3 linked regions of the Drosophila melanogaster genome follow. Changing the gene in region 2 together with the main gene of any one other region gives a genetic interaction. Each region holds a gene or a part of one and is shown on either strand. Other genes may lie near its edges.

What was found. Genes that interact genetically often act in the same process or in processes that back each other up.
Region 1: of Bx (region 2) and Tango14, changing one enhances a phenotype caused by changing the other (phenotypic enhancement), as found in Drosophila melanogaster (one study listed by BioGRID).
Region 3: of Bx (region 2) and drpr, changing one suppresses a phenotype caused by changing the other (phenotypic suppression), as found in Drosophila melanogaster (one study listed by BioGRID).

Annotation. Positions count from the first base shown.
Region 1 is NT_033779.5:1,157,090-1,160,724, reverse strand, and holds Tango14 (transport and golgi organization 14), read right to left. Parts: upstream 2,065-3,635; 5' UTR 1,750-2,064; coding exon 1,258-1,749; intron 970-1,257; coding exon 625-969; 3' UTR 505-624; downstream 1-504. Other genes in the region: CG5080 (uncharacterized protein), read left to right, coding at 1-281.
Region 2 is NC_004354.4:18,564,353-18,572,256, forward strand, and holds Bx (beadex), read left to right. Parts: upstream 1-1,953; 5' UTR 1,954-2,059; coding exon 2,060-2,272; intron 2,273-2,343; coding exon 2,344-2,786; intron 2,787-3,158; coding exon 3,159-3,284; intron 3,285-6,211; coding exon 6,212-6,584; coding exon of another isoform or gene 6,585-6,917; 3' UTR 6,918-7,374; downstream 7,375-7,904.
Region 3 is NT_037436.4:1,728,104-1,733,029, forward strand, and holds the start of drpr (draper), read right to left. Parts: upstream 3,005-4,926; 5' UTR 2,422-3,004; intron 1-2,421. Other genes in the region: Oseg4 (outer segment 4), read right to left, coding at 3,225-3,417, 3,486-4,926. UniProt on the Drosophila melanogaster protein: Receptor which is involved in the phagocytosis of a variety of cells including apoptotic cells, severed and pruned axons, degenerating dendrites, salivary gland cells, germline cells and bacteria.

The DNA of each region.
Region 1 (3,635 bases), on a different chromosome or scaffold from region 2:
CCATGATGGGTCTCGGCAGCCGCGTGGAGGAGACCAAGAAACACATGATCGACATGGACGAGAACCTCAACTATCTGCTGGGCAAGCTGTCGCTCATGTCCACCGAGTTCGCCAGCATCAAGAAGGGCCTGGCCGACTCCCTCGAGGATCTGCGCAACTCCTTCCACGGCCTCCACGAGCGGATGCCCACGGGTCCCGGTCCGCACAACATCGACAAGAACACGTATCTGACCGACGTCAATCTCCTGTCCAAGCGCCACGCTGAGCCCGGTCGGGAGTAGAGCGGCTGAGCGCCGGAGATGACACTTGAACGAAAAGCAATACAATACTTTTAACCATAGCGCTTAAGTCTGCCCACTTACATATACTCATCTAGTTGCGCCTTAAGCTTAAGCACAGCAAAACGTCACTCAATAAAGATCGAATATTATGTACAAGATACGAGCTGCTGCGTTGCACCGCCATTAGAAACGCGCGATCCTCTCCAGCAAAAGACACTTTCATGTGAACAATACACTTTTGCAGTTTACTCTTACGAACTAAAAGGAATTCCTGGCGATAATTTACATAATGTTAAGGTAACTAGTTAATATAAGGGTGTCGCTACCCACGCGAACGATGTGCCTACGTGCCCCACCGCTGCTCGCACCGCGAGTACTTGCACAGGATGCTGGCGAACGTCTCCACGTCGAAGTGGCGTCCGCTGGGATGCGTGTGGAACTCGGTGAAGCGCGCGTGCCAGGGAAGCAGGCCGTAGGTGCACGTCTGCCGGGCGAACACGATGCCCAGCTCCGGCTCCGGGGCCTCGAACCCGAGTCGCTTGCTCAGCATGTCGCTGATCTGCTCCGTCAGCGCTTCGCGCTTCTGCTTAAGTAGGCTCTGCACCAACTCCGTCTTACTGTCTTCGTACAACTCGCGGCAGACGTCGGCGATCAGGGCATGGCCGTCGGAGGCGCTGATTTGATGGAGCTGAAAGACGCCGAAGCCGAAAAGTCAATTAGAAACTGATAAGGCAACGACTAGTTCCGGGAATCGATTACGTTGCTATACATAGGTTTTAATGGATACAAAGGTAAAACTGGTTCTCAGCACGAAGAATTTTTTGTATCTCATGTGAATGATGAACTAAATTAAATCTCCAGCTCATTACTTCTTTTATTTAACAATTGAAACAAAAAGTGTAATACTTGTAAGACATTTTCCGACATCGTTCTAAAGTCCATTACTAATCACGGCTTATCAGACGCCGCCACTCACCTGCAGTTGAGGGGAATGTGAACCGTTCACATAACCATTTGTCTTTTGTCCGTTTTTGGGCTGGTTCTCCAGTTTGCTGGGACTGGCTACGGGTGGCCACTTTAAGCAGCTGCCCGTGTCCGCGTTGGTGGATCGACAGAGATCGGCCATGTCCACGTATCCCCTGCCTTTCGTCCGCCTGTCGTACAGGCTGACGTGTTTGATGCCCACGTCCAGGGCAAAGTCGAAGATCCTGCTGAGGAGCACCGCATCCACGCCGGCATCTACGGGGGAGATAACCAGGACCAGATGCTGCGGCGTCTTCGTCAACTGGGAGCGGCAGTCAGCGAGCACGCGCCGCTCGTGCGCCTCACGTGCCGCTTTGCTGCGCCAAAGGTCATATGACCGGACGGCCAGTGCATTCAGTCGCTCTCGGAGCCGCCACATCAGTTCGTAGCCGCCGACCAGGAGCAGCAGGATCCTGCCCAGCAGCAGGCACAGCACCTCGATCATGTTGCGCAGGTCAGGGGCGGTATCTCGTACAGCGGTTGTCTCTTCTGCCAGGAATCCGCTCCTGTTGCTTCTTCGGTTCCCCGTCACAGTGTACACAAGCGGACATAACCTGCAAACGGCTGGCGGACCTGGGATTAGGGCTTTCCAGAGGTGCCGGCTGCCTACCCACGCTCATCCAGGGTCACTTCGCTACCTGTTCAGTCACTTGAGACGCGGGTGCATCTTGTTATCCGAGCGTAATCAAGTTTTAAGCGATGCGCTTCGCAAGAATAATGAAAATACGTGTTCGTCAGTGTGACCATGCGCCGGATTCCGCAAAATATCGAGAATCTAGAGCAGTTTTATAATTAAGAACTAATTAAAATAACTAAATAAAAAATAAAACATTGATTATTTAATGAATATGTTAGACTAAGTGAAAAGGGAATAACATTTTATTGGAAAACATCTTTATTAGACATACAATGTGAACGATTTAACAAAATAATTTACAGGACAAGAAATAGCGTCAATATCTGAAGGTGAACTCTAGTAGAAATGTACCGTGTTCAATCAAAATATAGTTTATTTACGTGTATATCGAAAAGTCCTAAATGCATTGCAAATAATTTAAGAATTAGTTTATAAGCTTGGCTATTGCACTTCCATCATATTTTATACATTTAAACATCCGTTTTCTTAAGTCTAAAATTTGTTGTATCATATATTTTTAGTATTCTGCCACCCACATAAGGGTTAACTCGCTTGACTATTTCCACGAATGTACGCCTGGTCCCACCAAAGGCCACGCCAAGTTATTATTTTCGCCATTTCGCCGGTGTTCGCTACGCAGCTTCTCGTCAGTTCTAATTGGAATACAACTGCAGATCCTTGCAAATTCATCAGCAGCAAAAGAAGGTGAGTAACGCCTGATTGTTGCTAAAAACGTTCATTTAAACGGGGCTTTGCTATTATTCGCAAATTCTCTTCTCCCGTTCGCCGGCTGAAAGTGTCTGCGGAATTAACGGTTATTGGTGAGGGGTGGGTGGTGCTGTCACGAATTTGAGCGTGTGTGTGTGATGCAGGCTGTGGGTGTTTGTACACACACAACAACAACAACAGCGAAGAGAGCCAAAAAGACAAGAGACAGCTGTGTGATGGCTATTTTTGTGTGATTCATGTTGCTTGTAAAATTAAATCTACATGGTGTATTTTTAACGATGATTTCATATCCGATTCCATGGCATAAAGACACAACTAATTCATTGCCAGCAAGTGTATGCAAATTAACCCTTAGCAGCTCCCATTGCGATTGTTAACCCCCGATAAAAAAAAGTAACTACTCAGCTGTTGTGGCCATTTTTTGTTTTTGTTTCGCTGACTCACAGACACATAGTTGATATGCATATGTATGTATGCATGTATGTAGTTTACGCAAGAGCAAACACGTTTGCTTGTATTCGTGCGCGAATGAGTCAAAAAGTTGGCCAAAACGCTTTTATCAGCGAATCGCGATTGAAAATCGGCAGATATTACCACTCACTCGATTTCGGTGGAAGAAAATAACACCTCGCCTTATAAGGTGGGCGATTTTTCTTCTACCATTACGAACACCCCCCACCCCTGGTAATTCGAGCTCACTCACACTCTCGCAGCGGGAATAACGGTTCCTCAGCTGCAGACATTTAATCTTGGTTTCTAGTTTTTCTTCCCCATTTCTTCTTTGCTTTCTGCACGCAACAAACGCATCTGCCGCAGAAAACGCATCAAGACTGCAAGGAGAACTAGTATCGCCAGGCGAAAGTTGAATCTCGGCTTACTTGTCCTCGGCGGCTTAGCCCCTCCCTCCAATCCAACGGCTACTGATGCATTTCCCACTCTAATTGCCAGCCATTTGTTTAAAGCTA
Region 2 (7,904 bases):
TCCGAGCAGCGTTTAGCATTCGATTTCATTTGTCTAAACTAAATAACAATGCAGTCTGCGCTGCCACATTGGCGTTGCATGTTGCAGCTGCCAAAATTGAGTTTTGATGCGCTGCATACCCCATACCCCATACCCCATTTCCCATTTCCCGGCCTGCACTCCTACGGTCCACCAGTCCGGTCCTGTTATTGTTTGAAACGTCGCGTTAAATTTACATAAATTGATTTGATTGAATTTTTATGAGTCGGCGGCGCAGCAGTCCAGTGGCAGCCACCCAGGCATCCACTTGCACCAACCCATCTGGCATTCTGGATGCCCCCGTCGACTGGCCGGCGGGCATCAACTGCTGATGACTTTTCGACCCGCCCTCCGACGACTCACTGGCGATGGGAGGGGGCACGTGGGTATTGGGGATCGGAGGCGACCGTCTAATTAAAGTCATTTCCAGCAGCTGCATAACCCCTACACCCACAACGCCCACTCTCTGGGCCGTGGTCAAGTCGAGGTCACAGTTGGCGCTACATGGCGCAGGGCTTAATGCGAGCCATTTGGCCCGGTTGTCCGGCGATGGGCAACGGACAGGGGCAACGGACAAGGGACGACAACGGACACGGACGAGGGCAATCAGCGAAAAGAGAGGCGGCCAAAGGCAGAACCAGACACGGCACACATTGTGTGTACAACTTCTGCGGCGGGCAAAGAATGATGCACTGTGAAAAATAAAATGTGAAAGTACTTAAAGTTTCTACTGAAACTTTGAAGAGATTCGCTGACAGGCAGATTATTTTAAATTCCAAATAAGCTTCTTACTTTGTGCCAAGGACATTTAGGAACACAATTATCTCTTGTTTTTATATATAAATATTAAATATTATTTGTTGTTTCTTGAAAAAAAAAATGATGCAATGATTCCCCGCATTGTTCAGTGTAGTGAGTGCATTGCGGCATCGCTGGCATTGCATATTTTTAGGGTTTCCTCGCTGCTTGCTGAAATTTGCACATTGCAACAAACTATTTAGCGTTGGCAAGGGATGGGGGGCGCCAATTTGTCATAAATCTCGTTATTTTAAATCGCCGCTTGGCATTCCACGAAATTGTGTATGGGTAAATGGGCCTTTTGTTTGTATTGATTTGTTGTTGTTGGCTGCTCGCTTTGCTGGTTTCTGTTAACGTCAACGTTATCGGGCGACAACAGTTGAGGATAATACATACATACTATGTTGGGGGCTACGAGCACTATTTGAAGAGAGTCCAAAAATATGGGATATTATCGTAATTGGCCAAAAAAAAAAATTCCAAGTTCCTTAACATCGCTGGTTGAGTTTCTTAGCAAGGTGCTGAACGAAAGGAGAAAGTACGAAAAACGATCGCTAACTTTTTATTGGGTGATTAGCAGCGGGTCATTCAACGAGGCTCGTTGGTCTAGAGGTATGATTCTCGCTTCGGGTGCGAGAGGTCCCGGGTTCAATTCCCGGACGAGCCCAAGTGAAGAAGTAGTTTTTTTTTATTCAGCTGAAAATATGTCATGAAAATATGAATATTACACCATTTCATTGTGGAAATTGCATTTTCAAAGGGGTATTAATATTTTGCATAGTTTGCGAATTGTGTGCGAATCCAATGTGCACTTTAGTGGTCAGCCCAAAAGTATGCTGCATAATAGTGATCTTTTGTACACTGACGCCATCGCAGAGGCGCGCATTTCACAACACTGTGCCACAGCTGATAATTGCCGTTACATTTTGCCAGTGGCCGACACTTGAAGAAATTTACAATAAGGAAAATGCTATAAAAAATTTATTTGATATAACAAAAATACAATTACCAAACTATTTTTATGAGTCCAATGCATTGATTAGTGCATCTTATTTACAAAAGAGCTATTTTCTTTTGAGAACTTAGTAGCATACGATAGTTTACACGCCATAAAATGTTATTTTGTTTGTGTATTGCCAACACTGCCAACACTGCTAGAAGAAGACTCAGTAGCTTTCTGATCTTTCGCGGGTCATTTTTGTAAGAAAACTGTTGAAATCGAAGGAAACAGGAAAACATCGAAATGGAGTACCTCTACAACGCTAGTATGCATTGCGAAGATGAAGAACGCGTCAATTTCTACAACATGGACAAGTTCTTCGTGCCCCACGTGCAGTCGATTGAGCTGGAGCAGCAGGCGATCCTGCGGCAATACGTGCCCCAGTACGCTTATCAGTGGCCCTGGGGATTTGCCCCTTCCGCTTACAGTTATTACCAGGGATTCGGTAGCCTTAATGTACACACACACACAAAACTCCGGCGATGGAACCTTGAGTAATAACTATATCTTCTCCTGTCCCCTTGCAGATGATGACTATGGACATTACCAAAACCGAACCCGGTCTCGTCGGGCTTTCCTCCAACCAACAGCAGCAGCAGCAGCAGCAGTCGCAGCAAAGCAACGCCGGCATGAACAGCGGTGGCCAGAACAACGGGCCCAATCCCAATGGCAATGGGAACGTGGTCAATGTGGTCAACTCCGGCGGTGCCGGTGGCGGCAACAATGGCAACGGGAATGTCCAGAGCATCGCCGCCGCTGCCAACAATAATAACAATAACAACAACAACGGCAGCCAATTGTGCGCCGGCTGCGGCAAGCACATCCAGGACCGCTATCTCCTCCGCGCCCTGGACATGCTGTGGCACGAGGACTGCCTCAAGTGCGGCTGCTGCGACTGCCGCCTGGGCGAGGTGGGCTCCACGCTCTACACCAAGGGCAACCTGATGCTCTGCAAGCGGGACTACTTGAGGTTAGCTGCGATTTAAGAAATACTAAAACCATTTGATAGTGTAATATACCTAGAAGTATAATAGACGATGGTATTCATTAGTCATGTTAGAAGTTAAAAATGATACCAATTCTTGAGAACTCAGGTCTATAATGCTTATAGATAAAGTATTCATTATATTCTGTGACTTATTTTTAGTTTTATAAGACTTTAAGAAGCTTTCTTGCTAAGAGTAATTTATATTTAAACAGTACCTATTCTACCTAAAGCTTTTTTTTACGCATATTCAATTTAATAGCAAAGAGTAAAGATGTTTACTTAAAGAAGTCAGAACCATGTAAACCATATAAACTTCAAACTTTTTACTAATCTGTTCATAACTTTTCCCCGCAGATTGTTTGGCAACACGGGCTACTGCGCCGCCTGCAGCAAGGTGATCCCAGCCTTCGAGATGGTGATGCGTGCAAGGACCAATGTCTATCACTTGGAGTGCTTCGCTTGTCAGCAGTGTAACCACAGGTGAGCATCGAAAGGAATTTGGCCAAACTGGCCCATTGCCCCATTGTGGGGCAGACCATACATCATCCATTGTGTGGGAGAAGCGACTAAACGATTTCGCATGCATTTTTATGGGCAATTTGCACAGAGATTCGCATTGAAGGTGGCCACATGAATCCCTTTTTAATCTTTGGCCCATCGGAGCGGGCCCAAAGTGGCACTTGAAGTTTTATTAACGTGCCGCCAGACAGCAAATTGCCATCGTTTACAAGCTAACGGCTAAACAAACGGGGTGGGAAGAATGGCCCTTTAGTGTCATACGTTTTCTATGAAAACCGCATAAATTTCGCATTGAACAGAACGAACCGAACGAACCGAACCCTTTTGGGTGCCATCAAGTCAACGCCCAGCATTCCAAGGCCTCAAATATTTTATTGGACTTGGCCAATTCGTGAAATGTCACTCTGGAGAGCTTTAAACTGCAGCCCGATTGCCCGGTGGATGGGGTCGCGTCTCATTCTTCCATTTTGGCCGGTTCGTTTCGTTTGGTTTGGTTTGGTTTCGTTTTCGTTTCGGGTTTCTGCATTAATAATGAGGGCGCACATATGCCTTCGTGGCTCCCGGTCCACCAGAAACCTCCGGCATAGTCGTCGATTGTGCAACGCAACAAGGGAGCGAACATTAAATATTAAAAGCGCCGCCACACGGTGCTGGCTGGTAAAAAATATTGAAATAAATGTTATAACATATTGGCATATTGTGAGAATCGTCTCCACCCGTTTGGCCACCGCTCCTTATCCGGGAATCTCCCCGCTTTTTGCGCTCCTGCTGGCCCTTTGTTTTTGCATTGCCGAGAATTGGCTTTAAAAATGCAACAGGAGCAACGAACTTGGAGAAGTTCACCCTTGCGGAGATGCCATTATGGTTAACTTTTGACTTTTCTATAATCCTGTTTACGCTAGAATAATATAATATAGAACTAATGCAAATTTAGCTTAGACTAATATCAAAAGATTGAGAGTATGATGGGTCATGGTTATCCCATATTTCACCACGTTATCCATAAAAATGACCAGTGGAGATGCATCCCCTCCTGTTGCTAATCAATTTTTCACGTAAATTAATTCAATTGCCGAAAAAATCCATTGAGGCGTGGCCACATGGCCAGCGGCTGCTTCGCTCCGCCTTGTTGGTTGGTCGGATGGTTCGAATGGCCACATTTAAAATGCGGGCTTTCATTTGGCAAACAAAAAGACTTTTCCTGTTGAGTCCTACCGCTGAGTCCTGGGTCCTGTTGCTGTTTGGGAAATGCTGCAAAATGCATTGCAGTCGTCGGTGAGGTTTGCATAATTTCCTGTCGTCAGCACTGGACGACGACATCCTTGCTCTCCTGCGATTGGAGTCGCATCCAAGTCAAATCTTTCGTCCACGCGAATTTTTCACAATTTTTTTTCCCCCCCATTTTATTTTGGTATGTGTGCTTCCTGTTGACAATTTGCTGTTGGTTTCTTGTGAACGACGGGGAATGGAGCCGGAGAGGAGGCGAACGAAATGCCCGGATGTGCGAGTCCCGCACAGAGGCACTCACTTATCAACATGTCCGTGTCCATTTCCATAGCCATCACCATTGCCATCGCCAATGCCAATGCCATCGCCATCGCCATCGCCATGTCACAGGTGCGCTCAATGCCAGGCCAGCGGCAAAAGAAGCAAAAGTTTCGACTTTGTTGACTCGTTTTCATGGACTTTTGTTGCCCTGTTTTGGTAGATAAACAAAGCGCTTTTTTGCCCGCTCCGGCCGGCCAGATTTCTGTGCACTGCTCCCTGCCACGCCCACATGGGCCGTCAATCGATTTGGCCACGCAACCGAAAGCAGCGGGCCAACAAAATGTTGACGTAAATCAAAAGCCAAATTTCATATCCGCTGTAAGTCTGCTGTAAGCTGATTTACTCAGACTCCTTACCAAAACGGATGCAGTGTGTTCCCGTGCCCCGTCCTCCTCGGGGAATCAAACTTTAAACGTTTCTTTTTTGCATACGCCGGCGGAGGAGGAGGGCGTAGAGTATTGCATCAGGATAGCAGAATATGTGATGGAAAGGATGGATAAAGTTCGAGGCAACTTGCAAGTTGTAGCGGATAAGAAAGTAGTAGTAGTAGTATCTCTAAACGTTTACCCCTTGTCTTTTTTATTCTAAGGAATAAGCACAATCATCGTTGGTCTTTCTCACTTTTCAATACCAGATCTAGCTGGTTTCAAAGGACATCAACTCGTCTGCTCAACGCGACTCCATCTCATCCCCAAGTGAATCGTATTCTTTTTTCGGCTTTTTTCGTTTGTAATGCGAGCTCCCTTTCGGTTTGCATCGAGTGTATCTGTTTGCTGTTGGCCGGAGTGGGCGTGGCATCCGCCTCCGCCATCCGTACAGGTGCTAACATAAATATTTTGACAAAGGGCTCCATGCCGGGAGCCAACTTTATTTGCAGTTGGCTGAATGTACACTCTCGACTCCGTACTCCAACCGAAGTGGAGCCAGCACTCCAGGCTCCTCTGCTCCAGACCCATGCTCCTGCCACACCAACTGTTGCTGACAGCGGAGCGACATTGCCTAGCGCTTATCTGACTTCCTTGTCCTTGTGCTGGTCCTGTTTCGGTCCCGCCCCGTCTGCCATTCCCTGAGTAGCTGTCCTTGTTCTTTGGAACCGTTTTGCTTTTGTTTTTAGACGACAGTTCCTGAGTTGCCGGGCTGGCTGGCAGCTACAGTCGCCATAACCGCTGTCAATTGTCATCGCTCATCGTTGCTGTCGTTGTCTTTGTCGTTGTGTTTATGCCTTTGATTCCCCCCCACCGATTTCTGGGTCTGCCTAAGCGTGTGGAAAAATCGTTTCCACTTCCTTTGCGACTTGTTGTGCCGTAGTACTAACCACTGCCGTTTTCCGGTTATTTCAGATTCTGTGTGGGCGACCGTTTCTACCTGTGCGAGAACAAGATACTCTGCGAGTACGACTATGAGGAGCGCCTGGTCTTCGCATCGATGGCCAATCATCCGATGCTCAAGCGACACGTCTCCTCCTTGGGCCAGGGCTCACCGACGGGAGCGGCTGGGGCGCAGAATACCGCTGGTGGATTGCTGGGCGGCGGACCCGGTGGCGGCAATGTGAATGGCGTGGGCATGGTCAACGGACCGCGCACCCCTGGCGATCACAATAACAACAACAATGGCCCACAGACACCGACCGGCGGTGGCTCACCGTTTGCCGCTGCTGCTGCTGCCGCCGCCGCCGCTGCCCATATGAAGAATCAACTGGGCGCGTCCAGCTAAAATAAAGCCCTGGGCATGGGTGCCGCTGGGGCTGTTGTGCCGGGATCTGGAGTCGGCGCTGGAGTTGGAGTTGGAGTTGGAGCGGCGAGTCAGCAATTCTACTCGGGCTTCGGGCTGCAGCATCAGCACCAGCATCAGCAGCATCACCAACAGCAGCAGCAACAGCAACAGCTCATGGGATTGGGCCTAGGAATGGGCGGCGGTGGAGGAGTAGGAGGAGGAGGAGCAGGATCCGCCGGTGGACCAGGCGGAGGGGCAGGAGGAGGAGGAGGCGTTGGCAGCATCGGAAGCGGCTGCAAGCGCTACCAAAGAAAGTTTTACAACCGCAACTGAGGAAATCGACGGGCGAGAAAACGCTAGCGGAAAGGATGCAGAAATCCAGAATCGATATTCAAATCTTCGTTTGCTTTGACTGAGTTCAAGTTTTATAGTTTTAAAGGCCTAGTTTAGTTAGCCTACAGAAAAGTACTTGCTGAATTTGCAGACATTTTTAGATCCTAACATTTAAGAGACAATATGTTTACTTAGTTCTATTCGAGAATAACCGCCCCATTTGTTTTTAAACTAGTTTTATTTTCGTTTCCACTACATACTGTACATATTTTCCTTGTAAACTGTTGACGTATTAGCGGGATCCTTTTTTTTTTTTTACATACTCCATATAGATATATTCGTATTTATCTATGTATATGCATAAATAATTTTATTTTCACGCTCGAAGCGTGCGGTGCCAAAAGAAATTCAAAGCAGTGCCAAAAAGTTAAAAAAAAAAAAAAATAAACGAAGGACTAAACTGATGAATGTGGAATGAATGACAAGGGCGGCCTGGTGGAGAGAATCGGATTTGTGGACCTGCGAAATCGAGAGAGCTAAACATCCCCACCGATCACTGTTCGATTTTCCATGTGTCCTTCGAATCCGAAGGAGCCGCAGGATCGTAGAGTAGAGTCAGATGAAGAGAGATAGATGATGAGGAGCTAGAGGAGCTAGAGGGCAATTGGCAAAAGTGAACTTTGATGTGTAAATATTGAGACATTCTGCACACGACTTAAGCACACATGATTTTTGTTCTAATTCCATTTTAAGTCTGTTGGAGCAACGTTGTTGATTATTATTTAAGTTTAGTTTAGTGCGAGGCTAAAGAATGTTCTTTCCACGGCGAACGTTGTATAGAAGTAGCTGGAGCTGGATGATTTCTAGATGGATTGTAGATGAGGTATGATGGCCAGATCCACGATGATCCAGCGCGTTAGATGTAAAGCGCCTAAGATAGGTCGATGTAAAGTTAAGGATTTGTGTGCGTGCGTGTGTATATCTATA
Region 3 (4,926 bases), on a different chromosome or scaffold from region 2:
ATCTGCGAAATACTTTCGGACTAAGGAGAAAGCTTTGTTGTTAAAAAAACTCAATGGCATTCGTCTATTTCATTCAATTAGAATGATATGTATTTTATAAAGTATAAGCATTGCCTATTTTCGTTCCAATTAAACCTCCATCAGAGCTAAGAGTAGGTCTTATATTCTTCAAGTTGTGTGTATATATTTTGTGATGTATTTTCAATTGATTCAGCACAGTGCATATGTAAACATCTGGATTTGACTTGGATTACTATAATCTTAAGCATAGGGGGAAAATGAGCCAGCTATTCCCCCAACTTCAAGTACTGCGCACTTGATAAAGGCTAAACAAAGATTGTCGCTTCCCGCTTTATATAAACAGAATTATTCTACAAAGGAGGAGCCCTCACTTGAGCTGTACTTTGGATAGCGAAATCAAAGTCGAGTTTACTGAATCCACAATACACATCTCCAATAACCGCAACGCATATGTTTGGCGTTCAGTGGGCAATTTAACGCCTTGGCGAGGCGACAAAGCACATTTGGCAAAAACGATTATTAAGAATAATAAACGATTTCAATGGCAAGAAATAGATTTGGTATAAAAACAAGTTGTTCTGGCCCAGGAAATGAAATTATTGAAAGAATATCAGTTTGCACGAGGTCTAGGGTCTTACATTTGTGAACTACGTAAATGCTAGGCCAATCAAAACTTTCAGTGAACAGTTTAATTAAAGCAAAGAGGCAAAGGGTTCTCAAACGTTATTATTTTGGGATGGATGTTAGCTGCCATTATGAAGTATCAGTGAGAAACAGTGATTTCAGCTGTTTCGTATTCATTTCACAAGTGAGCCAAACACTCAACACCTCAGTTTGTATTGGCCAATTAGCGGGCGAAGCTCGGATTTCTAGCCCGAATTTGGATAGAGCTAGAAGCTTTCTCGATTGATTCAGCGAAGAGAACCGATTTCAGCTGAAAACCAAGAAAACATGTGTATATTATTCTAGTGGAAAGGCACCCACACATTGCAATGCAGACAGACGAACAAGAATTAAGCATAATCATCAGCAAAAGCGAAATGCACTTGCAACAATACGGAGAAAGCAAAGAAAAATGTTGGATAATGCAAACCCAAAGCGAAAAGATAGAGAACAGAGAATGTCGTAATCATAAGGGGAAAACTAACATCCCGACTCATGGGTTGCTCTCTAACCACCGCCACATTGGACAAGAAATCCCAGGAGGTTTCATCCCAGCCACTCCCTGCCACTCCTCCACCCAGCATTATCAATAAAGCTGAGTAATCATGGCGACGACAAAGCCCGGCTCCATAAAGGAACCTAAACAGACATTGTGACATGTACGGCATGGTATGATATGATATGATACCGAGGGTGGGGAGAGTGCACCTCTGAGTGCCATTTCAGTTTTTAATTTTGCAATGGCTTGTGGGACTTTTCGCTGTGCATTGCATTTCGAAGCTCGTGTCCTAAGCAGGCGTCATTGTTCATTAAATCACGTATGATAATAAAAATCAAGTTCCATTGCCAGTGTCAGAAATATAAGGTTAAGCTTAAAATCGCTTGGTTAAGGAAACTGTGTGAAAAATAAAAATGCTTTGTATGGGAAATATGATCGCAGTTTATTCCATACTTATTTAATGAATTCTATAAAAAATAAGAACGGTTTCTACATATATCTTAATTTGTGTGCACCCCCATATTCAGAAGTAATATGAAATATCGCTGAACTGATACCTTAATCAGTACTCATAAAGAATTAAACGCAAAAAAATTTTTTGCGACTTGATCTAAATTATAAACGGCTATTATTGTTATTTATTTTCGTGACGATGCATCGACTGTATTTTAATGTGTGCGTTAGTTAGGCAATTTCGATGTGTGTGAGTTTATGCTGGCTGGGTTTTCATTTGATCCGTTGGCGTTGTTGTTGTTGCGGCTGTGACAGCTGGAAGCTTCAGCAGCAATCTGGAAACTGGAAAGAATCCACAAGATGCGGGTTTCCAGGGAGCGAGGTGCTGGTCGCAGGGGGTCGATGAAAGAGAAGTTTGCCGATTTGCTGCCAATTCCCCGAATGACAGATATAAAGATACATGCATGAGATACAAAGAAGAAGAAGTCGACGAAAGCGCAAAACTAAAGCCAAAGAAAGGCCATTAAATTGTGCGAAAGAGAAACCAGAACAGGTTTAACTGTTCTTGGTGTGCGCCCGATAAAAGCGCTAATTGACACGCACACAAGTGCACTACTGCGGTCATAAACAAACCGCTCGTTGGGAAAGAAGAAAGGTGGAAGGGAAAGAGAGCTGACAAAGCTAACCAGGCGAAATTGCACATTTAACAGAAGAAAACTTATTTTTAACAACATAACAATGACTAAAATTAACGTTAAACTGCCACGATTGGGGTTAAAACTCACCTTGGCAAGAAGCACGGTGTAAACTGGTTTTCGGTTCTCACTCAAAACAAACCAAGAATGCACTCGCAATCGAATTCCACTCAATTTACACGTTTACGAAACTTTGGCCATTAAAACCTCGAGAGGATTTGTATTTTTAAATGCTTACAGCACCTTACCACATATATATATAGCTATATATATAAATTTGCTATTGTTTTTACTTTCTCACCATCCACAAAAACTTGTTTTCGTTGTCGCTACTCTCTATTTTGGCACTCTACTCGCAACTGAGCTGATTTAGCAATTAAAATGCAACCTCTTTAAATAAAAACAATTACTTTTCGTGCACTCCACTAACGACAACAATAAGGACAAACGGGCGCGACGCACAACAACGCAATTCTTTAATGCACTTAAGTATTTTCGTCGGTCAATTGGAGCTCGTTTGGTTTTCGCAAGCACCGCAATTACTATTTACTTTATTTTATATTTGCGTACGCACACCACCGCACGAAGCAGAAATTTATTTAACTTATTTAAAATTCAGCAAGAAACGGACAACCGACTTACTTAGCTGCACTCGCCAGTGTGACCGCTTTGCGAGTGTTGGATGAGCTAGTAGTGTGGCCCTAGCGCACTCCCCAGGAAATACTCACTGTGAACAGTCACTCTTTCCACTTATAACACTTTTCACTTGAAAATAAATTTGAATTCTATCTTAAAACTACATTGTTTATTTGCGGAGTAGATACGCCTGTACCACCTGGGATAAGCAGAATGAAAAACAGCTGGAGTAATTAAAACACTAGTCCCCGCTCATTTCAGATCTCCACCGTCATGGACACGATCAAACTGTGGCACAGTGGGCAAGTTCGGTGCCTGGAGATCTCGGTGGGAGCTGCGCAGTGGTGGCAGGTGGTACAGATCCATATGTTGTTCGTCGGCTGGGTGATGGGTTTCCCGGAGGAGATGCACGCCGGGAAGCGAGCATTGCACTCGGGGCAGGAGGGGGAGCTGAAAGGATCGGCATTCCATGAGTATCATCATTATAATCCAGCTTCTGACGTCGACCCTTCACTTACCTATCTGGCACGGGCACTCCGCAGGAATAGCAATCCACCCTATCGCCAGTGGTGTCCTCCGGATCGTACTTGGCGAAGATCCCAGCCGCCAACTCCTCGTACCGTTGAAGGGTAGCCTCGGGAAGATGAGCCTGTTGCTCCAACTTCATGAAAGCCTTGGAGCAGGTTCCGAAGGCCCGATCCGCACAGCTGGCCAGTGCCAACAGGCTGTAGATGTGCTCTGGAGGCAGGACGTCCTCGTAGTCGCGCAGCCTCACCGCAGTGACCACCGCACTGTGGACGATCCCGAAGCGAAGCTGCCTCTGGGCTAGGAGCATGAAGTGGTAGGCCTCGGCGCAGTGCCAAAGCCTCTCGATGGCGGCCGCATCCTCCAGGGCAATGGAGTCCAGTAGGGTGTTCCTGCCGCTGGCGTAGTCGATCTCCGTCGTGGCCACAGCCTTGAGGTGCTCCTCGGCCAGCAGAGCAGCCAGCACGTACAGCTTCTTGATTCTCAGCAGCGGAGCACGCTTCTCTTGCTCCCGTTCCGCCATTTGAGAAAGCAGGCGAGCTGCATCTAGATGACGCCCAGCATTCCGCTGCATCTCGATGGCTTCCTTGAGGCGTCCCTCCTGGAGCAACTGTGCCGCGTGCTTGGCTATGAGCGTTTGCACCTGGGGCAGCTGGAACCTCTGGGCCAGCTCAACAGCCTCGCCCCACTGCCGGAGATTAACGCAGGTGGCGACGGCGGCCTTCTGGTCGCCGAATCGAAGATGGGCTTGAACAGCCTCGGAGCACATGCCCACGGAGGCCAGCATCTCGGCCAGCTTCGGAAGCAGCGGGCTCTTCTCCGGTAGCCGTTCCACGCACTTTTCCAAGTCGTCGAACTGCTCCAAGTGGTACAGAGCCTCCATGTAACCCTCCAGGTAGTGGGACTTCTCGTAGTATTCCCTGGCACTCTCCCAGGAGCGCAGGTTGGCGAAGTGGTGGCCAATCTCCCGCCAAGCGATCTCCATCTGCTGGTCCGACACTCCCGATCCTCCCATTCTGTACAGCTGCACCACGCGAAACCAATCGCAAAGGGTCATGCGCAGCTCTATGGCCAGATCGCGACGATCCGCGTCCAGGTAGAGCTTCTCCGCCTCCTCGAACTCTCCGTAGAAGGCTGATATCTCCGCCCTCTGCAGCTCCTTGGAGTGTATGGTGCGCAGTCTCTTGACCAACTTAATGCCCGGGTAGTGGGCACAACGGACAAAGGCGTTCTCCGCCGTCTCCAGTTCCAGTTTCTTCAACGCAGACTCCGCCAGCAGTCGCCAGAGCCTCGGATGCGGGTTGTCCTCAATGAACTGCTTGGCATCCTCCAGTCCCACGTGCTCCAGTAGATCGTCGGTATCGCGCAGGGACTTTACCCTCAGCTGAATGATATGCGAAAAATTCTGCAGCTCACCCACGCTGATTATGTCGT